Macaca mulatta: one gene and its partners. The protein of the gene in region 1 interacts with the protein of each later gene in a biochemical or structural test. Links are inferred from orthologs where the notes say so. Each region holds a gene or a part of one and is shown in the gene's direction. Other genes may lie near its edges.

What was found.
Region 2: of the proteins of H1-1 (region 1) and PRKCA, one has a biochemical effect on the other in vitro, tested with the Homo sapiens proteins (3 studies listed by BioGRID). The link is inferred for Macaca mulatta from reciprocal best matches to the Homo sapiens genes H1-1 and PRKCA.
Region 3: of the proteins of H1-1 (region 1) and KAT2B, one has a biochemical effect on the other in vitro, tested with the Homo sapiens proteins (2 studies listed by BioGRID). The link is inferred for Macaca mulatta from reciprocal best matches to the Homo sapiens genes H1-1 and KAT2B.
Region 4: of the proteins of H1-1 (region 1) and CDK6, one has a biochemical effect on the other in vitro, tested with the Homo sapiens proteins (2 studies listed by BioGRID). The link is inferred for Macaca mulatta from reciprocal best matches to the Homo sapiens genes H1-1 and CDK6.

What each region holds. Positions count from the first base shown.
Region 1 is NC_133409.1:157,090,568-157,094,557, forward strand, and holds H1-1 (histone H1.1), read left to right. Parts: upstream 1-2,366; coding exon 2,367-3,014; downstream 3,015-3,990. UniProt on the Homo sapiens protein: Histone H1 protein binds to linker DNA between nucleosomes forming the macromolecular structure known as the chromatin fiber. Histones H1 are necessary for the condensation of nucleosome chains into higher-order structured fibers.
Region 2 is NC_133421.1:76,437,706-76,442,682, forward strand, and holds part of PRKCA (protein kinase C alpha type), read left to right. Parts: intron 1-1,957; coding exon 1,958-2,114; intron 2,115-3,153; coding exon 3,154-3,288; intron 3,289-3,799; coding exon 3,800-3,896; intron 3,897-4,977. UniProt on the Homo sapiens protein: Calcium-activated, phospholipid- and diacylglycerol (DAG)-dependent serine/threonine-protein kinase that is involved in positive and negative regulation of cell proliferation, apoptosis, differentiation, migration and adhesion, tumorigenesis, cardiac hypertrophy, angiogenesis, platelet function and inflammation, by directly phosphorylating targets such as RAF1, BCL2, CSPG4, TNNT2/CTNT, or activating signaling cascade involving MAPK1/3 (ERK1/2) and RAP1GAP.
Region 3 is NC_133407.1:28,521,638-28,527,179, reverse strand, and holds the start of KAT2B (histone acetyltransferase KAT2B), read left to right. Parts: upstream 1-1,948; 5' UTR 1,949-1,980; coding exon 1,981-2,283; intron 2,284-5,542. UniProt on the Homo sapiens protein: Functions as a histone acetyltransferase (HAT) to promote transcriptional activation. Has significant histone acetyltransferase activity with core histones (H3 and H4), and also with nucleosome core particles.
Region 4 is NC_133408.1:126,534,275-126,539,842, forward strand, and holds the start of CDK6 (cyclin-dependent kinase 6), read left to right. Parts: upstream 1-2,241; 5' UTR 2,242-2,367; intron 2,368-3,020; exon of another isoform or gene 3,021-3,815; intron 3,816-4,878; exon of another isoform or gene 4,879-5,040; intron 5,041-5,152; 5' UTR 5,153-5,520; coding exon 5,521-5,568. UniProt on the Homo sapiens protein: Serine/threonine-protein kinase involved in the control of the cell cycle and differentiation; promotes G1/S transition. Phosphorylates pRB/RB1 and NPM1.

The sequences.
Region 1 (3,990 bases):
CTGTTGTCCTCTTATACATCTGGTTTTCATAACCTGAAGGCTGTGTTTATTTTCCATAAAACAAGGCATTGATTCCAAAGGTATTATAATTCTCCAATTCTGTATAGCCTTCAGCTCTTTAGGAGAAAAAAAAAGAGGGAATTCTCCTCTCCGGAAATGTACCCTTTACGGGAATTTCTGAAACCTTTCACAAGAATTGCATTCCTTTGTAATGCTTTAATTGACTTAGTAGCGCTATTGAAATCTACAAAGCATCTCAAACATAGTAGGATTACACTATTCCTCATAGAAACATTTTCTATGAGACGTCTTTCTCTTGATTATGCTCTTTGAATCCTAAACTTGCAGTGTTCTGCAGCTTTTGTTTTCTAAGCCTAGGTGTACTCTGCCAGTCAATAAATGGCGTTTCTCCAGCACTGCCGCCAGGTACCACCAGCTGGGAATTGTTGCTCTTGCGGAGCAGGAGGTGGACTTGGCCCAAGAGAAACTGGATGGTAGTCCGCAAGGAACATAATTTAGCACTGCCAAGCGCTAATGCAATCATTTTAAAAGTCTCAAAACACTAAAAAGTGGATTGTGACCTTTTTAAATTCACAGGAGACAGGCCACTTTCTATCTTTTGATTGGTTTAGGCTATTTTCTTGAACAGCCATTTAGAAAGCAGATCTATCATCCTTTATTTGCATGGAGCGTTCCCATTTTATTTGAAGCCAGTTTAACCCAATGGAAACAAGGGAGGCAGAACCCATTATTTAAAGTGGAAGCTCCTGAATCAGATAATTCGGAGTATTTCCTTTTTAAAAGTTGCGTTTTTTTCAGATACCTCGCTTATTACATTAAGAAAGGTTTATATCTTTCATAAAGGGTTTACTTACAAAAACCTTCCAATTTTATATACCTGTGTTTCATAACTGACTAGCCGTCAAACCAAGATGTATAGTTTCCAAATGTTATTTTCCAAGTTTTAAGAAATTACGTGAAATATTTGAATGCGTGGCTTCTCAATAAAATAGACGTAGGAAACACTGGTAAAGAAGATGGGTACAATAGTTATCTGGGACTACTACAATTATTTGGTTGACACGTTGTTTGAAGAAAAAGGGAAAAAGCTCAGGTTACTTAGCACAGTTCGGACTTATTTAAAAACTACAACAGCACGAACGGAAATAGACCGCATTCCCTCACTCTCCGCTGTGTTAGGGGGTTATCCAGAATAGGATTGTAGAAGTGGATGTCGATTTAATAGTTTTTTTTGTTCTCCCGTTAGCTGAGTCTCTGATTGGCAATGTGAGATCGTTTTAGCTTATTGATAATTTGAAATGCTCTTAACAGCCACAAACAAGCTAAAGAGAGGTTACCATAAAATCTTATCCCCAGGGTGTGCTTACACTTACCGTTTGTTTTCACACTAAGGAGACTTAACTCCCCAGCAGAATGCCTGTCGGGGAACCAGTTTCTTGGACCCAGCATTTAACGCCTTTCGCAGGTTTGTGAGGCCCATAAATCTTTGTTGAATAAAACAATGAGTTCACCATGTCATGGTGCTCTCATTGCATGTGCTGACATGGAACACAGGTTGTAAACCTTAACACCCATTTGGGGCATGTTGTATGGATGAAAAGGGCATTGGAAATTCCTGAAGTGCATCCCACATTGGACTGTGGAAGTAAGTTACAAGTGCAGAAACGTTTCCACACTTGCAGTTTGAGTATTAATTGCAGCGTTAGTGAATTCTGGTGTTGTCTACGATTCATTCTTCTTTGACGTGAAAGGTATTCGCGAGACACATCGCTCTAAAACATTGCCAGAAAATGTAATCGAGTTGATGACTACTAGCCCTAACACGGCCTAAAACCCGCACTTTCCTCTTCCTCCCCAACTATTCAAACACTGTATTTTACATTTCTTGCAAATTAAAAACTAACATATCTGGCAACGGACCTCTAAAACTTTCTAATAAAACTCCCTGGATGCTTGTGGGGCTGCATTTGCAAACCGCTCCCCATCAACCTACTCCCTAAAACAGAGCTGCTTTTTGAGAGACAAGCGGCACCCTCTGATGTTACTAGGTGGCAGTCGGCCTACAATTTCCTTCACAATGAGGCAATCGGAGCGGCTTTTTCGGTGTGTTTGCTTGCGTTGAGGGGAGCGGGACCATAGGCCCTAGAGGCCCCCAGGTGCTCTCTGAGACTGGGGGAAACCCTCTGCAGAGCGCAGGGGGCGCTAGGGTGCGAGGGGCGGGCACTGACGGGCACCAATCACTGCGCAGTCCCACCCTATAAATAGGCTGAGTCGGGGCCTTTTTTTTCTCGCATCCTGCTTGGTCAGGTTTATACCAGTTTACTTGGTGTGCTGTATTAGTCACCATGTCCGAAACGGCGCCTCCCGCTCCCGCCGCTTCTGCTGCTCCTGAGAAACCTTCAGCTAGCAGGAAGGCAAAGAAACCTGCTAAGGTTGCGGTGGCCACTAAGAAAAAGCCTGCTGGCCCTTCCGTGTCAGAGCTGATCGTGCAGGCTGCTTCCTCCTCTAAGGAGCGTGGTGGTGTGTCGTTGGCTGCTCTTAAAAAGGCGCTGGCGGCCGCAGGCTACGATGTGGAGAAGAACAACAGCCGCATTAAGCTGGGTATTAAGAGCCTGGTAAGCAAGGGAACGTTGGTGCAGACGAAGGGCACCGGCGCCTCGGGTTCCTTCAAACTCAACAAGAAGGCATCCTCCGTGGAAACCAAGCCCGGCGCTTCAAGGGTGGCTGCAAAAACCAAGGCAACGGGTGCGTCTAAAAAGCCCAAAAAGGCCACGGGGGTTAGCAAAAAGAACGTCAAGACTCCAAAAAATGCTAAAAAGTCTGCGGCAACAAGGAAATCCTCTAAGAGTCCCAAAAAACCCAAAGCTGTAAAACCCAAGAAAGTAGCTAAAAGCCCTGCTAAAACTAAGGCTATAAAACCCAAGGCGGCCAAGGCTAAGGTGACGAAGCCAAAGACTGCCAAACCCAAGAAAGCGGCACCCAAGAAAAAGTAAATTCGGTTGGAAACTTTACTAACCCAACGGCTCTTTTAAGAGCCACCTACACACTTCGGGAAAAGAGCTGTAGTACACAGATGAAATTCCCCCAAGCAAATGCAATACGCCCTCATTTATATTAGAATCACTTGGAGAGTCAATAGGAACTTTAACATAGGTTGAGTAGTAAATTCTTGCCAGATGAGGCTATCAAAGATAGCAAGGTGAATTCAAATGCACCGAGTTAAAGTCGAATTTTAGATCACCTGTTTTGCTTTTTTTTTTTTTTTTTTTTAAGTAGCCCGAAGTCCCGCATCTCACGACCCCAAGCTAATTAGTCATAACTGTAACGAACCAAGGTTGAAGCCTAGTCCCAGGCTTGAGGCTTTTTTATTATGCAAGGTTAAAGTGCGGACATTGCGTTCTTGGGTCAATATTGCTAAAGTAGCCTTTTCCGAAATTGGGTGGTCCTAAGAAATGCTTCTGGGATAGTAAGCAAAATTCATGGCTTAATCACGCCCTCTCCGCAGCAGTGGCTAGAGAGGTGTCTGTCCTTGGGAATGACGGTGACCCTTCTGGCGTGACTGGCGCCCACGTTGGCGTCCTCTGAAAGCCCCACCAGGTAGGCCTAGCTCGCTCGCTTTCTGCAGCGCCATCATGACAAAGCTTTGAAACGCAAAATGCTCTTGCTTTGCGCAGCGCTTTACCATGGGTGCACTTACAGGCTGTCGACTTGGTTTAGGCCCTCATCAGGACAAAGGAGCTTAGTTGCAATGGAGTTTTAGAGCTGCAACTCTAAAGCCCTTGCTCGGTTTCTCTGTTTTTAGAAACAGTAGCGACCTGATTGGATAATATTTGAAAATTACTATGCTTAACTGGATCGTGTTTCATCAATCGTGCAGGATTTTCAACCCTGGTGGAGCCCACACATTCAATACTGAAGATCCTTTTCTCAGAACTGCCCCTTTAAGCTTTTGCAATTTTAATTCTGGGG
Region 2 (4,977 bases), on another chromosome or scaffold:
TTTTTTTTTTCATTTTCCAAGCCCCTAACCATGTAAGGTGTTTTATAAGCATTCTTTTACTCGAGTCTCTCAACAATTCTATACTACTGGAATTATGCCCCTCTTCATTTTTCTAGATGAAGAAACATAGGCTCAGAGACAAAGCTTCCCAGTGCTCAGGGTTACATGGTGAAGGAGGCAGAGTTCGCACGTACACCTGCTGAGCCACAGGGACCATGCCTGTGTGTTTCATTTATGTGCTATCTGCTCCCCGAGATGAATGAGGTTAGATATTTTCTTAGGAGAAGAAATACTTGGAAGGCACAAATGGGGTACGAGAAACATATATTCAGCTTCTCTGTGGCTAGCAGGCCTGAGCCAGCCCCCTCCCCCTCTGTATTTGAATGTAGTCCCATCTGTTGCCCACCTGTGTAAGGCTGCCAGGTAAGGAGGATGTAAGGCTGTTGGCTGGCAGGAGGCGGCACACAGTAGGTCCACAGACTAGTAAAGGCAATGCCTGTCTGACTTCTGATCTTAGGGCTGTACCTCCCTCATTTGTGTCCAAAGACCCAACATCTTTAGGATTCTCCCCCCGCCCCCTCCCCATCTAACCGTGCCCACTGACAACTCCAGTGCCTTCTTCTAAAGTTCTTTTGTAATTCTTAATAATTAAACTATGCCGATAAACTATGCTAATTGCCTAGATCTGTGGTTCTGCAACATTTATGGACATCAGAATCACCCGGAGGCTTGATAAACACAGACCACTGGACCCCACCCCAGAGTTCTGATTCAGGAGATGATGCCAGTGCCGCCGGTCCAGGGACCACACTGTGGGAACCACTGGACCAGGGAGCCTGGTCCCAGTTATACGTGTGTTGATGGTGTCTGACCAGTTGCATATCTGGTAATTCAGCCTCACTGGGAAAGATGCCATGGGAAGATAATGAGGAAGGCATTTGGGGTAGGAGGCTCAGGCCTTTGTCCCTTCATCATAGCAGTAGATAATTACCTTTTACGTTGATGTGCAGTGGCGTTAGACAGCTTCTCACGGTTGTGAGCCTCTGCCAGCTCTTAAATCTCCGAGCCTGCTTTCTTCTGTGGACGAAATGGCGTTTCCTTCTAATTATTTTTGATTCCCATATCAGGTTTCTCAAGCTAGGATTGCATTGGAAGTGCCTGGAGGTCTTGTTAAAGTGAGGATTCTGAGTTATTAAGTCTGAGGTGGGACCCAAGGTTCTACATGTCTAATGAGCTCCCAGGTGATGTAGATGTCGCTGGTCCATGGATCAGCACCGGGCAGCAATTCTGAGTTACAGCTGTATACAGCAATGGTGCTTGCCCCTGCTGCCCAGTAGAATCACCCAAGGAGCTTTTAAAAACAAATATTTGAGCCACATTCCTTGGAGATTCTAGTTTAATTCTGGGGATTAGAATTTTTAACTCCCCCATTCCCCAACTCCCTTGTGATTCCAATGTACAGTCAGAGTTGGAAGCCATTGGCCTTTACCCACAAAAAGGGATAACACCTTCTGGGAGGTCAGGTGCATGTGCGGCACCATGGACCAGGTCGGGCTGGTTGCCTCCATGTTGGGAGGGTGCGCCATTACTCCTGGGGTGCTGCAGAGGTCACCTGGGAATCTTGTTAAATAATGGATTCTGCTTCGGCAGGTTTGGAGTGGGACCTGGATCTCTGCATTTCTAATAGATATCTGAGTGTTGCTGATGCTGCCAGTCCAGGCTGGTGCTGAGTCCCAAGACCCGCCCACAAGGGCCCACACGATGCCTGTTATCTCTGCCGGTGGTGGCAGTGGGTAGCTTTTCTCATGACGAGCGTTAGAGGCGTTTGGCTTCCCACCATCTCTCTCCTTAAATGCCATCCTGACTTCTCTTTTACTCAGCTTGGTATTGGCACAGGACACTGGGCAATATAGGTCCATTCTCTTTTTGTAATGTTTTCTTCCTTCTCTCTTCACAGTACGAGATGCAAAAAATCTAATCCCTATGGATCCAAACGGGCTTTCAGATCCTTATGTGAAGCTGAAACTTATTCCTGATCCCAAGAATGAAAGCAAACAAAAAACCAAAACCATCCGCTCCACACTAAATCCCCAGTGGAATGAGTCCTTTACATTGTAAGTGGTCTCTCCTTGATCAAATCTCGTTCCTATACACCATGCAGTTGCCCACCTCATTGTTTGAGGTAATGAAGTAGGTTCATTATAAACGTCTTTAAACGTGTCTTCAGTCCTAAGACCTCCTCAGGCTGCCATTAGGGAGGTAGCTATTAGCACCTGTTTGATAGATAGTAATTTGATTTACCAAGAGTTGCATAATTCCGGCCTCAAATTATTATCATTATCTAACCTGGTTAAACAATTCTGTGTAAGGTATTAAAGATGATGTAAAAATGTATCCGGTGTGTCCACCTCTCGATAGACTTAGGTTCTTTTGAGAGTTAGGGGAGGGCATAAGACAAGAATTTAAATAATTTTTAGACCACAGAATGAGTGAGTAATATAGGAAGTGTTATTGCCACTGAAACGGCAAGATCATTCTTGCCTTCAAAGAGAGAAGACCTCCTGGAAAAGAAAGGTGACACTTAAAGCCAGCCTGGGAGGGTTGCTAGGATTTCAGAGGTAGAGATGGTAGAAGGGGAAGAAGGAAGGAGGGAATAAATAAGTCAGGAAGACTGAGTGCAGCTGAGCAAAAGCAGGAGGTCCCCTTTGTAGACCAGTATACAGGAAGCAGCTTTTCTGTGGACAACCAGAAAGGTAGCTATCTATTCTAGAGGGACCAGCAAGCTCTGCTCTGTAAAGGATCAGATAGTATATATTTTAGGCCTTGTGGGTCATATAGCCTCTGTTGCACCTGTACAACTTTCTAGTGCCAAAGCAGCCATAGGCAATATGTAAACAAATAACCATGGCTGGGTTCTAATAAAACTTTATTTATAAAAATAGACGGTGGGCTAGATTTGGCCCATGGGTCATAGTTTGTTAACTCCTCCTGTAGCGCTTTGGTTGCCAGCATAAGGGGTTGGTATTTTACTGGACCAGGAAGAGAATCAAATATACTATTTCTGTATCTCAGGCTCAAATCATGTACAGGTGGTATCTCCCAAGAAACCATGATCAAAATAACCTAGTGTTTGCATGTGTGTGTGTCTTGTAGCAAACTGAAACCTTCAGACAAAGACCGACGACTGTCTGTAGAAATCTGGGACTGGGATCGAACAACAAGGAATGACTTCATGGGATCCCTTTCCTTTGGGGTTTCGGAACTAATGAAGATGCCAGCCAGTGGATGGTATGGAAGCTGCTGAGGTTGAATATGTCTCAAAGCATCAGACCATTTAGACAGTTAGGTTTCAGTCTCTAAAATGTCAGTTGAGACCGGACATGGTGCCTCATGCCTATAATCCCAGCACTTCAAGAGGCCAAGGCAGGTGGATTGCTTGAGCCCTGAAGTTTGAGACCAGCCTGGGCAATATGGAGAAACCCCATCTCTACAAAAAATACAAAAATTAGCCGGGCGTGGTGGTATAACCTGTAGTCCCAGCTACTCAGGAGGCTGAGGCTTGAGGATCGCTTGAGCCCAGGAGGTTGAGGCTGCCGTGAGCCGTGATTCACCACTGCCCTCCAGCCTGGGCAACAGAGCTACCCTGTCTCAAAAATATAAAAATTTAAAAAAGTCAAATGTCTACTTCTCTACCTGTAGCCTCTCCATAGGATGCGTTTCACAAAACAGCTTGACTAGAGGTTCAGGAGAAGGCTTGCTAAACTTGCGGTGGTAACTCTCTTTCTCCTGTCTTTGAAAGGTACAAGTTGCTTAACCAAGAAGAAGGTGAGTACTACAATGTACCCATTCCAGAAGGGGACGAAGAAGGAAACATGGAACTCAGGCAGAAATTCGAGGTGAGGATAACAAAATGCCTGGAAACACCTTTCCTATAGAAAGCCTGACTTCAGGAACAGCCGAGATAGTGTGGTCACATTTTCGAAAGGCAAAAAAGTAATCTAAATGTTAATGATCTTTTTCTTTATTTAAAAACATAAATGTTGTTCACTCCCTTTCCTTGGCAAGCTGTTGACTTTTTATGACTCTTATCACTTAGAAAATGGAAACTGGAAATATCCCAGAAATGAAAGCATGGTTGATTTTTGCATAAGAGATCGATTTGCACATCACTGGGGAGAGAAGCAGCCTCTGAGGGGCAGGATTGTTCTTACAAGGGAGGACTTGTGCTCTTCTAAAAAGGAGGAAGTCATTTTGGCCTTTCCTTGGGAGCTCATTTGTGTGTAATCAGGCTATCATCTGAGACTTTTTTTTTCCCCCTGCAGAAAGTACAAGGTTCCTAATTTTGTTCTGAAAGACCAGCTTAAACAAATATGCCTTTGTGTGTGATCCTTTTTTATCTATATTCCAAGTGTTCAGCAAAGGCCACCTCCCTCTCTTCTTCCTCTTGGCATTTGTGTTTGCCTCTGTCCCGGATTCCCTGGTCTTTTTTCTTCTCCTCCTCTGCTGCTTACTTCTCTTTTTCTTCTCCTCTCTCTCCCTTCTCCTCTTCCTTTACCAGACATCTCCGCTTTTAGTAAACAGTTCTTTTCTCTAAGCACCTTCCTTATGTTTTAAAGTCACAACTTCTAATATTTTTCTGCTTCTCTCATCACGCTTCATTTTGGCTGTTCGAGGGACTCGTAGAGTAGCCTTTTCAGTCTGTGTAACAGGTTAATTCCTTTGTGAATCTTTCTCTTCTTCAGACTCATTAGAATTCCCCAGAATTTCCCCACTCTAGAGCAATACACGTGCACACGCACACATGTGTATAGGTGCTGAACTGTTACTGAAATGTTGACACTAAAGGGATGCTATTGCTCCTGTTTTCCTTCTTCTGTTGTTCTCTAAGAAACAGACAGATCTGGGGGGTAGGGAAGAGTGGTCTTGGGAGGATAATAAACCTCCTTCATGCACCCTGCAAAAGAAACATATAGGTCT
Region 3 (5,542 bases), on another chromosome or scaffold:
TTAAAAAAATTTTGAGGCAACATTTACATCCAGTGAAATGTACAAATCTCAAGTGGACCATTCCATCAGTTTGACAAACGCCTACAAGGTAGAACCCAAGCTCTTATTAGTATTTGTTAAATCCATGTTAGAGTTTGATCAGAGAAGCACAGCCTTTAAGACTCTCACCCTGCTTTGAGGAGAATGGCAAAAATCTGCGAAATTTCTCAGCAGAGTCAGGAGAGAGTACCACTGGTAACGTGAAGCACGTCAAGCTAAGAAAGGAAGCACTGAAGTTAATTGTCCTGAACGGAACCTGATAAGAATCTGCCATTTCATCCCCTCAAGACTGGACTCAAGTTGGGAGAGAATATTGCCTTTTGCCCTGTCTAAACTAATATCACTGTTTAGATCTACAAAGTCCCCCACCTTCCCATGTTTATGTATTACACTGCATTACAAGTCAAAATAACACAGAGAATCTGGAAAAAGGAGAAGGGGAATGTTTCCAACGAAAAGCACACCCCTTAAGGCGTCTGGCCTGAGAGCTATATAGCATGCATAAAATCTGATAATAAGCACATTATGACCCACATTGCATATAACAAAAAGTAGGGCACTTCTGAAGGGTCCTGAGAAACAGCCCTGGACTTTTAAAACCTGCTTTAAGAAGGCGATCAACCGTACGCCACTTTCAAACGCAGCACTGACATGTATGCTCCACAGTCATCAACAGAGAAAACAACAGTTTTCAACAAGAGTTGAAAACTGAGTTGAGGGTTTTTTTTTTTCTTTTTTTTTTTTTTTTAAGTTTGAGGCCAAAATCGGTATTTATTCTTTTGAATGATGCTTATATCTTTTTCCTGGTTAATATGCACGCTGGTGGTACAATTTTGAAAACTACGTAACGTGATAGAACCACCACCCAGAAACGAGTCCTGTTAACAAACTTTTTGTATTCAAACTTTTTCCACTGCACATAGTTTTTATTTTGACAATGCTTTTAGACAATCGTTCTTTTAGCAACCAGCACTTTCAAACAAAAAGTACAGGGAATAGTAAGTTTTTTCCCCCTCCTCTGGCAGATTTGACCCACAAATTGCTATAGGAAGAAAGTGTTAATTATATTAAAACATAGTTTGACAGAAAGTATTTAAAAAGAGAAAGGGAAAACATCACGCTTTTATTTTGGTGAATTAGCAACAAAGAAAAGGATTAGCATGGACGGGTACTTTTCAAAAATATTTTTTTTTTCCTCTGGCTCCCGCTAGGGTGGAGGAAGTTGTCTCTGCTCAGAGACAGGGTGGAAGAGAGTGGAAGGACAAATGACTGAGAGGCGGCCCCCTCCCACTGGTGCGGGCGTGCGGGGGTCGGATGGGGGGCCGCGGAGGGGGGAGGTGGCCAGCAGGTGCCTGGGCTCCAGTCCCCTACCCCCACCCTCGTCCCCACCCTCACCCACACCCAGGGATTGGCCTCGCCCCCTGGCGGGCGAGCAGTAGGTGTCGAGGCACTGGGGTGGGGGGTGCAAACCTCGCGGGCAGCGGAAAAGAAGCCGTGGGGGGCCTCCCGGCCCCGGCACACACTGCGAGGCTGGCACCCGCCCGCACGCACACCCAGTCCGCAGCCCCGAGGAACATGTCCGCAGCCAGGGCGCGGAGCAGAGTCCCGGGCAGGATAACCAAGGAAGGGCGTGTGCTGTGGCGGCGGTGGCAGCGGCAGCGGCAGCGGCAGCGGCAGCGGAGCCGCTAGTCCCCTCCCTCCTGGGGGAGCAGCTGCCGCCGCCGCCGCCGCCGCCACCATCAGCTCGCGGGGCCCGGCCGGAGCTAGCCCGGCGAGCGGCGCGCGAGGGGGAGGGCGGGGGCGGGGAGGGGGGTGGGCGAAGGGGGCGGGAGGGCGTGGGGGGAGGGTCTCGCTCTCCCGACGACCAGAGCCCGAGAGGGAGACCCTGGCGGCGGCGGCGGCGCCTGACACTCGGCGCCTCCTGCCGTGCTCCGGGGCGGCATGTCCGAGGCTGGCGGGGCCGGGCCGGGCGGCTGCGGGGCAGGAGCCGGGGCAGGGGCCGGGCCCGGGGCGCTGCCCCCGCAGCCCGTGGTGCTGCCGCCCGCGCCCCCGCAGGGCTCCCCCTGCGCCGCTGCTGCCGGGGGCTCGGGCGCCTGCGGTCCGGCAACGGCAGTGGCTGCAGCGGGCACGGCCGAAGGACCGGGAGGCGGTGGCTCGGCCCGAATCGCCGTGAAGAAGGCGCAACTACGCTCCGCTCCGCGGGCCAAGAAACTGGAGAAACTCGGAGTGTACTCCGCCTGCAAGGTACGCGCTCGCCGTTCTCGGACCGCGGATGGGTGCTAGGGGCCCAGCCCGCGGGACCCCCCTCCCCCTCCCGCTTCCACCTCCGCCTCCCGCCTTCTGCCTTCTGCCTCTCGCCTCCCGCCTCCCGCCTGGGGCCGCTGCACCGCGGAAGTGCTCTTGTCGCCCGAGCCCAATTAGCTTCTTCTTGGATAAGAGTCCTGCTGGGTTTGAAGAAGGGGATCACTAAGACGGAGAGCCCTTCATTCCTTCCGCTTGAAAGGAGTAGCTTCGGAATCCGAGCTCCCGGGCTACTCTGGGGTTTTGTTGCTCTGTAGGAGCTCGCTGGAGTCACTTTCGCGGGAGTGGAGCGGTGCTCTCCATGTGGTGGGCGACCCAGGGGCAGGGAAACATCTTTTGGGGGACTGAGTGGTCCCTTCTGCAGTCGATCCCTTCCCGTGTCCCACTGGGAGGAACTGGGTGCAAGGAGTCGGGGTGGAGAAGACTCCCGGACTCCTGGCGCTTTGGGAAAGCGAAGGGGAGGAAAGCGCGGGGTGCGAAGGTGGGCAGAGCCCGAGGCGAGGGTCTTGTGGCGCCTGACGCCCTCGGCTGGGGGCGGAGGCGCTGCCGCGCGCAGTGACAGCCCTGTCATTATTGTATTATTACTTGTTTAGTTAAAACGCTGTCCCAGCTGCTCGAGGTGTAAACAGGATTTGGCAAGGTGACAGCCCAGCGCCGCGGACGCTACTGCTTGGTTTGAGGACACCCATTTCTTGCTACCCACTCTCCGTGCCAGTTTAGGCACCCTGTCATCCCCAGCTGCAGATCCAGATGTGGGGGCCGTGCTCCCGAGGTGGGAGGATTGCCCGAGGCCGCGGGGCAGGCTGGCCCTGCGCTGTCAGCAGCGGCTTTGTTTTGACAGGGTGACAGCTGAGGGGGGCGGGGACTTGGCCTTGTCAGCTCCTGCGGCCTGTGGCAGAGGCAGGGAAGAGACACACTCACACACACTCACACACCTCCCTGTATTCTTCCTGCCTGCTGCAAAGAGGGTCAAGTTCCCAGATTCCGGATTCCCAATTCCCACAACCAAGCTGCAGTGGCCACTTCTGAATTTTGATATAACTATTATTTATTCTACTGGAACATCTGGGTTATACTCTTCTTAGTACTTACAGGAGCTTCTTAGTCACAATGGAATGTCTGTGCTTGCTCTTTTTCCACACCGTATCCTCATGTTTATGTTGAGCACCTCTGTATCCTATACTGGTTCGATAAATATTTGTTGAGTGAATGTGGGATCTAGCCCAGTGCTCCTCAAACTTTCATGTGCATGGGAATCTCCTGGGGAAGCTGGTTAAAATGCTGATTCTGAATCAGGTGGTCTGAGGTGGAAGCTAAGAGTTTGCATTTCTGACGAACTCCCAAGTGGCACTACGCTAGTCCACAGACCACATTCCAATTCAGACCTGGACAGTATATTATTTGTCCCCGTTGAATTTAGCAGAAAAGACAGAAACAAATAATAATGCCGTGTGGTTATTTCTGAAGAAGGAATGCAAAAAAGATGAAGTGGGGAGTGTGCTTTTTGAAAGGTGCAAGCCCAGGAGTTGATCATGAAGGGCATTAGATGAATGAGAACAGGCCACTGACTGTAGTAGGCAGAAGGGAGAGCTAGGTACAGAATTAAGAACAAGGTCGTGAGTTCAGGGCATACTGCTTGGGTGATGGATACACCAAAATCTCACAGATCACCACTCAAGAATTTATGTAATCAAACACCACCTGTTCCCCCAAAACCTATGAAAAAAAAAAAAGCAAGGTCAATTACTTGGTGGCCTTGGCGTTTTGCAGCCAAAGTGGGCTCATGCAGGAACTGTGTCAACTCAGTGTTTCTGTCCTGGCTTTATTTTAACATTTGTTTATTGGGTTATCATTACCAGCACCTCTTAAAGACTTCCTGCTGCCTGCTGTAGCTTTAATATCTGAAAACTTTCCTGAAGTTTTGGTTTTGTCTAAAACCATGAGCATATGTGGCCTGCATTGATGTTTTTGATCTTTTCAAATTTCCATGGGTGAGATGTAGCACCACTTCCAAAGTTTGAGATTTGAGTGTTTTCTGGTCACTTTCATGACCAAACAAGAGAAATAGAAAATTTATTTTAAGGCCTTTTTTTTTTTTTTTTTTTTTTGAAACAGGGTCTCACACTGCCTGCAGGCTGGAGTGCAGTGGCATGATTGTAGCTCACTGCAGACTCAATCTCCCTGGGCTCAGGTGATCCTCCTACATCAGCCTCCTGACTAGCTGGGGCTACAGGCATGCACCAGTACACTATTATTATTATTTTTTTTATTCTTTGTAGAGACAGGGTTTCACCTTGTTGCCCAGGCTGTTCTCGAACTCCTGAGCCCAAGCACTTTGCCCGCCTTGGCTTCCCAAAGTGCTGGGATTATAGGCATGAGACACCATGCCCGGCTGAAAGTGTTCATTTTTATGTGTCCATTCATTCAGTAAATATTTGGAGGGTTACCAACTGGGTGTCAGGCATTGTGCTAGGTGCTGGGCCTATGACACACAGAATTTGTCCTTCAGGAGTTACTTACTGTGTGTGTGCACAAGTGCATGTGTGTGCATGCATGTGTTGGGGCCTAGGGAGGAGGGCAGTGAACCAGAATTACAGAGAAGTTCAGAAAAACTACTTTCTTGGAGTACTTGCGGACCCAGAGCAGGACAATTCATAGACTGGGGCACTGGTAGGGTGGGATTGCCTTCCTGGAGGAAGTGTCAGTGGCTGCTAAGAACTCTTGGCAGGGCAGAGTGGGGTGGGGTGAAGCTTCTTGTAGTGGAGAAACTGAAAGCAGTTCTGGAAGCTTGGAGGTGGACCAACTCCAGCCAGACCTTTGTTGCCTAGGGCCACCTGGTTGGGGGTGAGGGGTACGTGGCCAAGAGGGCACTGAGGAGTGCAGGAATCTTAACCTGGGGAGTGACACTATCTCAGATTTGCTTTAAAAAAAAAAAAATTAACTGGGCTCGATTGGATAATAGGGAGGGTAAGAGAGCAGAATCTGTGGTTCTCTCTTGGCTTGTTTCTGCACTTACTATGAGCAAGCCCGAAAGGACAGATTGCTCTACCTTTGCCACAGGCCCCTTGGCAAGTTAGATTAGAGAGATTAGAGAATGAGGAGGGATCTAGAAAGAGATAAGGTAGTTTGCTGGGGGGCTTTTGAAAGAAAAACAGGTCCCAGGCCTGATATAAATCTGGCCTTTAAACTTCACAAACAAAAC
Region 4 (5,568 bases), on another chromosome or scaffold:
CAGTTGTAAAAACTTCCTTGGGTCTGAAGCTTTCACCAACTGGGATTTAATGTGAACCATAACCAGGGAGAGTGAACAACGATAAATTAACATAAAAGATAGCAATATCAGGAAAAGAAGAGGACAGAGAGTTAACACTCAGTATTAACATATATAATTAAATAAAGTTTCATTGTTTTTTACATTGTCCAAATGATCTAGTAACCTAAATCATGGAATTTCTGATCTAGCAATGGCTGTTGTCAAATTCAGTAATTAAAACTTCAACCCAGTGTAGAAAAGACACTTCTCTGTTCATTTAAAAGATATTTGTAGCTTATTTTTTTTTTAAATAAGTGATTTATTCAAATAAATTCTAGCCATGATGTGCTGGTTCCTATTTACTGGCAATTATTTCTGGATTATATAAACGTGTTAATTACCATCAAGTAAACCTTGTTTTAAAAGGCAAATGGTAAGTGTGAACAATTATCCAAATGGAGGATTCCCATTTGTGTCTCTGGCTTAAAGTCTAGTGATTTGTAGTGATCTAATATTTTATGTAAATATAAAATCTAATGATTTGCCTTATTAAATTTATAAGATATATGAGATTATAGATAGCTTTATAAATACAAATTTTGTTCAGAAAACTGGATCTTATTTTAGAAGACATGCTCTTAACACAAATGTATTTTATGAATTATCTTAAGCTTAAAGACATACAATTATTCACTTTTATTTTTAAAGAAAAAAATATTATAATGCATTGCAAAATATGTGCTACTGGAAATGCATCAATTTTTTATTTCCCTAGCCTTACCTTATACTATAATATAGAATCAATTTTATAAAGGCAAAAATTTGATTTACTATGAGATCAGTAACATGGTTTTAAAGTCAAAAGATTTATAGAAGTAGTATGTCCAATTCAAACAGAATTTTGCCGGGTTTTAATTTTTCTACAAAGCACTGAAGTAAATAATTTTGTGAAAAGTTTTTCTTTAATATGTTTTAAAGGGTTTCAAGTATTCTACAGATAGAGATTTTGGGGAGAACACCAAATTCTTTCCAAAAAGACAGCTATTTCAAGTTTTCTTTTACTCCATTGTAGAAGGTTTTAAAGACTTTTTTTCTCCAAAAGCTCATTTTCACCTGAAATAATTGTATTCAAGGGTTTCTCAGCAGGTAAAGTATACATTCTTACAAGGTTTCAAATTTCAGATTTCCAATAATGCATTTAAACTGAGCACTCCTCTTTCTGTGTATGTATCTATTATCTGCAGTTCTATTATTTACACTAAATTTTAGTCTTTTTAGCTCCTCTGAAATACGTTAGTGAACCCTCAGCAGTTACTAACCACTTAATAATTGTGAACCCGCCAGCCCCTTCAAGTAGATCGTTAACCATAAGAGTGCCTGACAATTTCCAAACCATACCCTCTGTCTAAAAGGAAAAGATAGGGCTTTGTGAGGCAGAAAGGAAGCGAAGGAAAACAAAACAAATGTAGCTCATGCTGAAAGTGAAAAGTGCTTGAACAGATTAGTATTTTCTTTTCTGCAAGGCATCCTGCCAAACTTTTTCTTTATTTTTTTAAGAGAAGAGTTATTTTTTGGTCTGATTTTTCAGTTTCTTGGAAAGTATTGGTATTTACCACCCCCATCGGCCCTTCATAATTATTGTTAGTTGTTTTGTGTTTTTCCCATCCGTCCACGTCACACAGTGAGGATACCCCCTGCTTCACCCTGTCAAAACCCCAACTCTGGGCGACCCTGGGTTTGGAAACTCCGCCGACTCCCGACGACACGTCCCACTCTCTCCCACTAACGCCGCTTATTTTAGTCGCAGGATCCCCCTACTACAGTTTCAGTGAAAGCCGGAAATTTTCATTTAACTCCCCTGCCCCCCCAACCCCCCCGCCCCGCGCCTTTCTAGCCCCCGACTCGTAGAAGGGAGCTAGGGAGCCCGGAGCTCGGAGCACTGCCGGGGCTTGGCCGCCTCCTTTCTCTCCGGAAGGCTTTAATTTGCACACTTTCTTGCCACTGCGCCACGAGCCCCCAGCCTCGCCGCTGGGTGGGTCTCCGGCAGAGTTGGCTTCTCGGGTCCCTGCCCCCACCCCGCGCGGTCGCCCCCGCTGCCTCCCTGGCTGGGGCCCCCAGCGCCGGCCAGAGCCCCGCGGCCCCCGTCCGCCCCCAGCTAGCGGCGCGGGCGGCGCCCTCCGCCTTCCCTCCGCCCTCCGCCGCTGTGCCCACCCCCTCGCCGGAGAGAGTGCTGGTAACTCCTTCCCCAGAGTCTGATTACCTGCTCCGCGAGGCCGCGGACACGTGCGGAGAGCCGACTGACACTCGCAGCCCCCTCAGGAGGCCCGACGCGACTGGGCCCCTCAGGTGAGGAGCTGTGCGCTCGGGTGGGTGGGCTGCGGGGTGGGGGGTCCCTGGGGAGATATGGGGGATTGGCCGGGGTCCGAGGCAGAACTGTGGGTGGGGTAAGTGGAGGCTGGCGGGGGGTGGGGGGGACCTGTGTTTCCCTGGAATCGGCTTTGGTTAACCCCTTACGAACTGAGACGGCGTTGGTTATGGGGGCCAGTTTTGGGGAGCTAGAGGATTCTAATCTGACGAGAGGGGGAGATCCTACGCTAGGGACACCCGCGACACCGAGATCCTGCTTCCACGTACCCGTGCGCACACACACTCACACAGAACACTCCTCATCCAGTTTCTCCAAACGGAACTGGAACTCTACTCGGACATTCACATAATAATTCACATTTAGGGTTCAAAATGCACTGCCTCTAGGGACTCCATGCTGGAGAATGTGCTTGCATTTCCCCCACGAAAACTCCCTCGCCAGCTCGCTGAGGTGTGGGTGTGGGCTCCACCTTCCCCTCCACGAGATAAATGTTAACGCAGGCTTCCTGCGGGCGTGTTATGCACAGAAGAGTGCACGCAGCCGGCCGGTGCCCAGGCTTGGAGCCCCACGAAGACGCACGTTTGCTTTAGTTTCCAAGTTTACTTTTATCATTTAAAATATTGGAGTTAAACACACGCCCCGTGGTGAGCAGCCCTTGTCCCCGCAGGGCGCCCGTCCGTGTGCATATGGGCGCATCTGCGTGTGCGCACACGCGGGAGTCGCGGTCCCCGGTGTGGCCTCTTGTTGCCGTGCTGGTGGCGACCCTTGTGGTGCTTGGCAGGCTTCGGGAGAGGCGCATGAAGGATTTCATTGAGTGTGAAGACAGAGAGCAGAGACAGAAAGCAGAAGGAGGCGGCTGCAGCCTTTGTAGTCGCGGAGGAATGCGGAAATGTTGAAGCACTATGTCAAACTTTTTTTGAAATGGGGTCAAGTCACATTCAGCCAGCGTGGGAAAGCAACAACAACAACAAAAAAAAAGTGGAGGAGAGGGGGGGAAAAGGCATTGCTGCTCCCGTTTCTCTCCGCCGAAGCCGACCGTCTGGGGGGCGAGTGGGGGGAGAGTCAGGGTAGTGCGGGGCCCGGCGGGGGCAGCAGGCGAAGTTCCCTGCGGGGGTGGGACGTCCCCGACGCTTCCTTCGCTGCGGAGCCCGGGGCTAGACTCGAGCGGGAGGGGGATGGGGGGACGCAGGAGAGGCGGGTTGGGCGGCCGGCGGCGGCTCCCCGGCTACCTGTGTGGCCCTCGACCTGGCTCAGACGCCCGGGCAGTCCTTGGGGGCTCTTTCCTCGGCTTTTAAGGAAAGTTCTGAATGGAGTGAGTGCCAGAAGCACTGCTTTCGCCGCGGTCCGCTCCACGCGCTCATCGTGGGGGTCGCGCCGTTTGTTTAATTCCTGGCAAAAGGCGAGCGGGGCAGCGGTTGCGAGGCAGGTAATTCCGAGGTGCCCCGGGAATTCCGGACACGCGGCCAGCGTGGTGAAAGTCCTGCCGAGGCCGCGGCGGCCGTGGGGGAGGGAGGCTCCCTAGGTCCCAGATAGCTGCTGAATGGGGAGGGAAAGTTAGGGTACCCTTCTCCGGCGCTTTGTTATGCAGAGGGCTCCGGGGGCGTCCGGCTGCAGCCTGGACCCGGCCTTTAGCCGGAGAGGGAATGGGGCAGCCACCTCCGCTACCTACAGCGGGGTGGTCCTGGGAGTGGGAAAAGGTTCGCGAGTCCGGGCCCCGAGGGCAGAGACCTTGTTTCTCACCCCTGGAGGCGCAGGGTTTAACCCCCCACCCCCCACCCTTTGAAAGAGAGGTTGAGTTTTGCTCAGGTCGAAATCAATTTAAAACTTCAGGACGAGGCGCGATTAAGCTATCCTCTTCCTGAAATTATTCTTTAAGAAGACGACAAGCGAAATTGTGACGAACACCCCTTTCTCCCACCCTTGGGATCCCGTGGGGGACAGTGTCTCCCCTCCCCCAGGACCTCTCGTTCGCCCACCCCCGATTAGCCCCAACCCTCCCCGACCAGATGGCTGGTCTTCCCAAGGTTTCCACCAGGGAGGTCCTCCCAGTCGGAGAGAGAATTCCGTTTCCAACCGAGACTCCTTTACCCCAAAGAGACCATTTGTGTATGCGAGTCGTTTTTAAATGTCTCCTCGTAGAAAAACTGAAAGTAGAAAGAAAGGAAGCAATTTCTGAGCAGATGTCTGACCACCCCTTCTCGCACACTCACAGCATCGGGTTACAGGGTCCTGGGAGCCCCCACCCACATTCTGCGGCCCCACACGGATGGACCCACAGTCCTTCCGCTCCAGCTTGTGCGCGACCCTTGAACGCCCTCCGGCACCCCTGGACCCCATCTCCCTGCACGTCCGGGCCTCAGGAGGCGGGGAGGGTAGCGACGCAACACAATGATATAGGGATAAATATTAAGCCGTGACATTGACGTGCCCGGCGCCTCCCCTCCCCCGCGCTCCCGGCACACTCTGGGCTGCTCGGCACGCCCCCTCCCGTTCCACTGCGTCCCGCGCCGCTCGCTCATCCCCGAGGGGCCCCTGCAACCTCTCCGCGCGAAGACGGCTTCAGCCCTGCAGGGAAAGAAAAGTAACTTCGCTTTTCTCGGAGGAACCAGGAAGGATTAAGCGGCTTGGGAGAGGGCAGGAGCGCGCGGAGGGTAGCGATGGAGGCTTCGTAAAGGAGGAGGAGGGGAGTCTGGAGGAACCCCGAGGAAGGCTTCTGGGCTGTCTGATTGCACTTTCTTCTTATCCTCCCGTCTCCTCCTTTAGGTGCAATGATTCTGGACTGAGACGCCCTTGGGCAGAGGCTATGTAATCGTCTCTGTCTGTGCTGAGGACTTCGCTTCGGGGAGGGAAGAGGAGGGATCGGCTCGCTTCTCAGGCGGCGGCAGCAGCGACTCTGCAGGCGGAGTTTCGCGGCGGCGGCACCAGAGTTACGCCAGCCCCGCGGGGAGGTCGCTCCATCCAGCCTCCGCAGCCGCGAGAGCCCCAGCGCCCGAGCGCCTGAGCCAGCAGGGAGCAAGGAAAGCTAGACCAATCTCCGGGGAGCCCCGGAGTAGGCTAGTGGCGGCCGCCAGCTAGTTGAGCGCACCCCCCGCCCGCCCCAGCGGCGACGCGCCGGGCGGCGTCCAGGCGGCATGGAGAAGGACGGCCTGTGCCGCGCTGACCAGCAGTACGAATGCGTG